Mytilus edulis: one gene and its partner. The protein of the gene in region 1 purifies or fractionates together with the protein of each later gene. This does not show direct contact. Links are inferred from orthologs where the notes say so. Each region holds a gene or a part of one and is shown in the gene's direction. Other genes may lie near its edges.

Region 1 (3,760 bases):
AATCAAAGAAAACTTATTGACATGTATATTTGAAGACTTACTGAAACTAATATTCAAATTTATACAGACTAAATGAAACATTCAGTATTCGACAAGGACTGGTTGTTTGATTGTTTCCCATAATCTTACCCATGATTCAAAAACGTTTTGCCTTCCTACATTCTATTAATATATAGTCACCGTCCAAATATTGGCATCATGATTTTTGTCGATTTTTTTTTAAATATCAGTCGCATTTACTAGAGACGATGGTTTTCAAATAGTGGAATAAAAATCCATTCCAAATATCCACTACTGTCCAACCTTGTGTTTGCACTGTATAATCCTGACTTTCACATTATCAAAGATCATTTTCTACTTGCCCTATGTCTAAGCATATCACAAGACATGAAAGAACAACAGGAATAATTATGTGTAAGAATATGTATGCCCTGTCATGACATGAGTCTGACAAGTGTATTTTGCCATCCTGTTTTAATCCCCCTAACATTATTTACCTGTTCAATATATGCCCTAGAGAATGTTACTGTATGACCACCACATGTAAACCATTTTCAATAATGACATGTCTTGAGATGTGTGTGAGCTCTGATTTCAACATATGATTAATTAATGCCTTTTGTGGCCAATTACATACAAAGGTACACAACTCCCCACTAAAAATTTTAAAGTCTAAAATAGGTAAAGTATGACCCGAACTTCATTTTTTTTTCTTTCTGAAATACAGTTTTTGCCTTATCTTTCAACCCTAAAAAATAATAATTTTTAAATCAATGGCTTTAATCTTTATTTTCATGTAAAAAAAATGCTTATATACTGCTTAAAATTAAAAGGAATGAACTTTTTCCATTTGGAACATCTCAAGCATTTTCTTTACCTTTATGTAAAAACACGTGACCGACGCAGTATTTACGAAATCCGCCATTTGCCGAACACAGCACGTTGAGGTACTTTTCATTACAAGCTTCGAGTTTAAATGTGTGCATTTAGTGTTAACGTTGCATTCATATAACAAATACTCTATGTACTCTTATTAAGTACTTTTATCATGTTGTCTGCGTCAGTGTTTTGAGAACGAACTGCGACAAACTTTGAAAATAAGTTCAATTCAATTCCAAGCTTTATTTTAAGTCGGCATGTCCCAGAACAATAACATAAGCTCTTTGAGCTTTTATAACCGACAAATACATGAATTTACACAATAAACATATACAATACTAATGTTAAAACATACAGTACATAGACATATATTTCATGCACATGACGTAGTCCAAATAATTATGACGTCTTGAAAGGCTATTATATTTTTTTCTTTGACGCCTTACATCGACGTCATAATGCTGAAGCCGCCATTTTCGGTTGGACTTTGAGAGCATATTTTGCTCTCAACTTTGAGACCCAATTTAGCCATCAAATTTTCATTGAAGGCTAAAACACAATGCATAAACAAAAATTCTTACCTTTTATGTGTTTGTTTGTGCAAAATATTTCCAATTAATCCCGACAGAAATAATAATATAAGGAACAATTCCATCCGAGGCGGGAACATGTCGACTGCATTTTTTAAAACGTTTGTCTGATTTCCTGTAAGAAGATTATAAAATAATTTTCACACCAAACTCGGTAAAACCCGAATTTCCGGAACCATTGTTTTACATTATCCGGAAATTCAGGTCGGTGAAAATGTACCGAGTTTGGTTAAAAAATATATTTTATACACCTAAAATGAAGCATCTTTAGGAGAAATCAGCTAAACGTTTTAATAAAGCAGTAAATTCCTTCTCAAAGTCCAACTGAATATATGAGTTTGGCGTTATGACGTCGATGTAAGGCGTCAAAGAAAAAAATTATAATAGCCTTTCAAGACGTCATAATTATTTGGACTAGCACATGACGTAGATTTATACATGTAGTTGATATAGATTTTTGTTTTACTTTATAAAAATATAAATAAATTTGATGTATTTACTCTCTTCTGATTGGTTAAAAGAATTAGCTTTATTTTCAATGTTATCAATTTTTATAGCGACACGCCCACTCTAACGTTGTGTATTCATACGCAAACATCTGTGTACGTTGTTATTCCTATTAATATATATCCCTGAGCCTTATTTTTGATACAAATTTATTTTGAATTTATTGAACCATAAAATTAATTTTTGACTCTTCACATTACATAATCCGCTTCGCTTTGATTACACTGACAGTTTAAAGAAAAGGTCGTATTCTAAAGTGTTTTTATTGTTAGATATGGGACATGGAAGTGAATATGAAAAGACAAAATGAATTGTGTTTTTTATTAAAAAAAATCCATAGTGATACTAGTATTACAGCACTCAGTTCTGGAAATCTCCGAACTCTAAGGTTAACGAATTCGATGGCAGTTACGGATTTCATTAACTGAACCATTTACTAATTCGGTAACTTCTCTGTTGGCTTTGGCATTTTGAAATCACTTATTTGAGTAGCAAATTCAAAATTTTGTCACAAATTGTGATTTTGTAGTTTTACCAAAATTTTAAACACATAGGTCTAAATAATATCTTTTCATTAGTAAAATAGAAAAAATGAACTTTTTGCATGTAGCAAGGTTTATGCCTTTAATGCTATCATTTAGCTGCAAATTGGATTTTAGTTGAAAAAATGCTATAATAATGGCTCTACATATCCCAGCAGTGGGAGTATTTTTCCTGTAAAGTTCAAGGTTTCATCTTTCAGATTATGTAATAAAATTCTACTGTTAGCGATAAAAATTCCACTGTTCGGGGGTGTTGAAATTAGTGGGGGTTATTAAAATAATAATACTTCAAAGAAGTGATTTTTGGGAAGGAAATTGATGTATGATACTTAAACAAGTGATTTTTATGTCATTATCCTAGATTCAGTACAAGGTGATCACCTGAAATGACCTGGTCATCCTATCAACACAGATGTTGGTTCTGGTAATTTTAGGAAATATATTTACAATCCCACATGTTATACCATGAAAATGTTATATTTATTACAATTATTTCAGGTGCTGTAAATAAACGTTTGGCAAGATGGCTTTCCCCTATATGATAGGGCCTGGTGGGCAGCCATTTATAATACAACAAGTTCCGTTGATGCCACAACCATTGATACAGCAAGTCCCCATACAACAACAGCAGCAACAGCAGCAACAACAGCCTCCAGTGCCACAACTTCAGAAGCTACCTGATTATATGTCTGAAGAAAGATTACAGGATAAGGGTAACTATATTAAAACATACACACTGTTAATGCTACATCAATACATCATAAGGCCAAATAAAAAAGTATGTGTGGTTCCAGTTACATCTGAAAAAAAGTTAGGGTAGGTAGGTAGGGATTTTTTTTTATTTTATGGTTTTTTTTTTACATTGAGTCTATGGGAGCAACATTCTGACTTTAACAGTGCTTAATGGAAAATGACAATAAAATCTTTAGGGTAGGCTATTTTTAAGCCGATAAAGTAGGGACAGTAGGGTTACTGGAACCACAAATATATTTTTATTTGGCCTAAGTAAAATCAAAATATGTATAAAAAACAGTTGCAGGAAATATTAAATACACATAGAAATGAACAGGGGTATACTACTGTTGCCTTTGTTTTCAAACACACATGTTGGGACAGAAATAAGATTTTGTGACAATTTGCCAAGCTGGCAATTATTTACAATCTACATTTTATTTACACATTTGTATGGGAATTCTTCCTTCGTGGCAGTAGCATGGCAGGAGTTTTTTTTCTAATTTATAC
Region 2 (3,760 bases), on another chromosome or scaffold:
AAATTATTACTCAGATAATAAAAAGCTTTTATTTTATTTTATCTTTATTGAATTAAATAAAATATAGAAATATGATAAAATTATTAGCAATTGTTTAAATAATAATGATGTTATGAGTTAATTTCAATAATCCTTTGTTTATTTGTGCAAGTATAGTAATGACTTTTAACTGGTTGTTAATTGATTTCACAATTATCCTTTATAATCTTTTTGAGTTCATTTAATCTCCCGTTGATCTTCAATATAGTCTAGTCAACAATACAACTACAATACTGGTATATCAGTAATGTACCAGTATTGCTGGTTTTTTTTTATAAAAAGTTACAATACTGGTACAAATTTTTTAGTATTGTGGACAATACTGGTATACCAGTATTGCGATCACCAACTACAGGAGATCCGTAGATTATACTGTCATCTGCAAAGAGTCTGATTTTGCTATGTTGGATGTAATCTGGGAGGTCATTTATGTAAATTAAGAATAGTATTGGTCTTAGCACTGTACCCTGTGGGACTCCTGATGAGACTGGTATTTTTGAAGATGACATGTTTTCTAAAAGTACTGTTTGCGTTCTGTTTGAAAGAAAGGATTCTACCCAGTTAATGATTTGATCTGATAATGATATGCCAAAGTATTTCATTTTGTTTTCATTTATTTTTAGCATACTTTGTATATCATTAAATTCATAAACTTTGATATTAGTTAATATTCTTACAGTGTGCTTTGTACACCACCAGTATTTGCCTGACTCAAAACTTGAGTTAATGCTTTTGGCTTCAACATCTTTCACAAAATAATAGATCACATGATTCGGATCCAAAGCACTTTGTAACATTCTAAATGATTGGCCAATTTATTGAGGTTACGACCTGTGCTGAACTTCCGCAAATTTTGACTGGTACCCTTTGTAGAAATGTGTACAATTGAAAATAAGCTATCGTAGTTAATTATTACAAACCAGTCATCATTGAATTAGCATGGCAGAAAAGAAAGATCGTCTACCCGACGATGCTTCTGAATATTGGCTTTTCCCCTTGGTTGACACATCATTATGTCAAGAGACAAAGCGAAAAATTTTACTTGAATATATTGACACTTATCTTGCGTTTGTTAGTTCAACAATTGTCGACCACATTTGGCAAAAGGAGCAGTTTAATTTGACTGCTGTGACTGAAAAAGGTTACTTTGTTTACTTTTAGATTGCATTTCTGCCTGACTTTGAATCACCAAAAATAAATTGTAACCCTTCTATAAAATTTGCCCAAGATGTGAGGCATTTTCATTATTTTTCAGTCAAGTACTAAGACACAGGAATATCTGAGCTATATTGTCCTGAATGTGCATTAACAGTTAAACATGTGTAATTATATTTGCCACTGGCGATGCAACTCTTTGTAGAAATGTGTACAATTGAAAATAAGCTATCGTTATCGTAGTTAATTATTACAAACCAGTCATTTAATAAGCATGGTAGAAAAGAAAGATTGACTACCCGACAATGCTTCTGAATATTGGCTTTTCCCCTTTGTTGACACATCCTTGGATCCTTGGCTTATGTCAAGAGACAAAGTGAAAATTTTACTTGAATATATTGACACTTATCCTGCTTTTGTTAGTTCAACAATTGTCGACCACATTTGGCAAAAAGAGCAGTTTAATTTGACTGCTGTGACTGAAAAAGGTTACTTTGTTTACTTTTAGATTGCATTTCTGCCTGACTTTGAATCGCCAATAATAAATTGTAACCCTTCTTTATACGACCGCAAAAATTTTAATTTTTTGGTCGTATATTGCTATCACGTTGGCGTCGTCGTCGTCGTCGTCGTCGTCGTCGTCGTCGTCGTCGTCGTCGTCGTCGTCGTCGTCGTCCGAATACTTTTAGTTTTCGCACTCTAACTTTAGTAAAAGTGAATAGAAATCAATGAAATTTTAACACAAGGTTTATGACCACAAAAGGAAGGTTGGGATTGATTTTGGGAGTTTTGGTCCCAACATTTTAGGAATTAGGGGCCAAAAAGGGCCCAAATAAGCATTTTCTTGGTTTTCGCACTATAACTTTAGTTTAAGTGAATAGAAATCTATGAAATTTTGACACAAGTTTTATGACCACAAAAGGAAGGTTGTGATTGATTTTGGGAGTTTTGGTTCCAACAGTTTAGGAATTAAGGGCCAAAATAGGGCCCAAATAAGCATTATTCTTGGTTTTCGCACAATAACTTTAGTATAAGTAAATAGAAATCAATGAAATTTTAACACAAGGTTTATGACCATAAAAGGAAGGTTGGGTTTGATTTTGGGAGTTTTGGTCCTAACAGTTTAGGAATAAGGGGCCCAAAGGGTCCAAAATTGAACTTTGTGTGATTTCATCAAAAATTGAATAATTGGGGTTCTTTGATATGCCGAATCTAACTATGTATGTAGATTCTTAATTTTTGGTCCCGTTTTCAAATTGGTCTACATTAAGGTCCAAAGGGTCCAAAATTAAACTTAGTTTGATTTTAACAAAAATTGAATCCTTGGGGTTCTTTGATATGCTGAATTTAAAAATGTACTTAGATTTTTAATTATTGGCCTAGTTTTCAAGTTGGTCCAAATGGGGGTCCAAAATTAAACTTTGTTTGATTTCATCAAAAATTGAATAAATGGGTTCTTTGATATGCCAAATCTAACTGTGTATGTAGATTCTTAATTTTTGGTCCAGTTTTCAAATTGGTCTACATTAAGGTCCAAAGGGTCCAAAATTAAACTAAGTTTGATTTTAACAAAAATTAAATTCTTGGGCTTATTTGATATGCTTTATCTAAATATGTACTTTGATTTTTGATTATGGGCCCAGTTTTCAAGTTGGTCCAAATCAGGATTCCATATCAAGTATTGTGCAATAGCAAGAAATTTTCAATTGCACAGTATTGCACAATAGCAAGAAATATCTAATTGCACAATATTGTGCAATAGCAATTAATTTTCAATTGGAGTTATCTTTCTTTGTATAGAATAGTAGTTGATAATATATGTTGGAAATTTGCCAGACATGACTATGATGTCATTTTCTATTTTTATTTGCCAATAACTTTATGTAAATAACTTCATTGGAAATTTGCCAATATAAAATGTTGCTGATGAAGCTTTTTTTCCTTATCTTATCTAAAATGTTTTTAGATAATGTATGTTGGACATTTGTCAGACATGACTATGATGTCATTTTCTATTTTAATTTGCCAATAACTTTATGTAAATAACTTCATTGGAAATTTGCCAATATAAAATGTTGCTGATGAAGTTTTTTTTATTGTTTTATACAATAAACAATGTATATTCACTTTTACTACCAACCAATCTTTACCATTCAGTGATAACAAGCACTTTATTTTACATTTTAATATTTTATGATGTATTTAAAAGAGTAGTTATTATTGCAAACTCCATTAGAAATTTGAATTGATATCAGTTTTGGAAAAAGGGAAACGGGGATGTGAAAAAAAGGGGGGGGGGGGTTAAATTTTTCTCATTTCAGATTTCATAAATAAAAAGAAAATTTCTTCAAACATTTTTTTGAGAGGATTAATATTCAACAGCATAGTGAATTGCTAAAAGGCAAAAAAAAACTTTTAAGTTCATTAGACCACATTCATTCTGTGTCAGAAACCTATGCTGTGTCAACCATTTAATTTTAGATTTAAAAAGTTTGAAGAAGAAATCTTTAATTGATTTGTAAAATCTTGACATTTGTTTTGTGTAAAAAAAACTCATGTAATGTCA

The links. The genes of interacting proteins can lie anywhere in the genome.
Region 2: the proteins of pre-mRNA-processing-splicing factor 8 (region 1) and protein ecdysoneless homolog purify together in Homo sapiens (affinity purification with mass spectrometry; 7 studies listed by BioGRID and IntAct, counting the BioPlex papers as one, with this or other methods). This does not show direct contact. The link is inferred for Mytilus edulis from reciprocal best matches to the Homo sapiens genes PRPF8 and ECD.

Annotation. Positions count from the first base shown.
Region 1 is NC_092349.1:30,224,718-30,228,477, reverse strand, and holds the start of pre-mRNA-processing-splicing factor 8, read left to right. Parts: upstream 1-885; 5' UTR 886-947; intron 948-3,016; 5' UTR 3,017-3,041; coding exon 3,042-3,231; intron 3,232-3,760. UniProt on the Homo sapiens protein: Plays a role in pre-mRNA splicing as core component of precatalytic, catalytic and postcatalytic spliceosomal complexes, both of the predominant U2-type spliceosome and the minor U12-type spliceosome.
Region 2 is NC_092352.1:35,106,839-35,110,598, forward strand, and holds the start of protein ecdysoneless homolog, read left to right. Parts: upstream 1-948; 5' UTR 949-978; coding exon 979-1,180; intron 1,181-3,760. Other genes in the region: ragulator complex protein LAMTOR2-like, read right to left, coding at 717-784. UniProt on the Homo sapiens protein: Regulator of p53/TP53 stability and function. Inhibits MDM2-mediated degradation of p53/TP53 possibly by cooperating in part with TXNIP. May be involved transcriptional regulation. In vitro has intrinsic transactivation activity enhanced by EP300.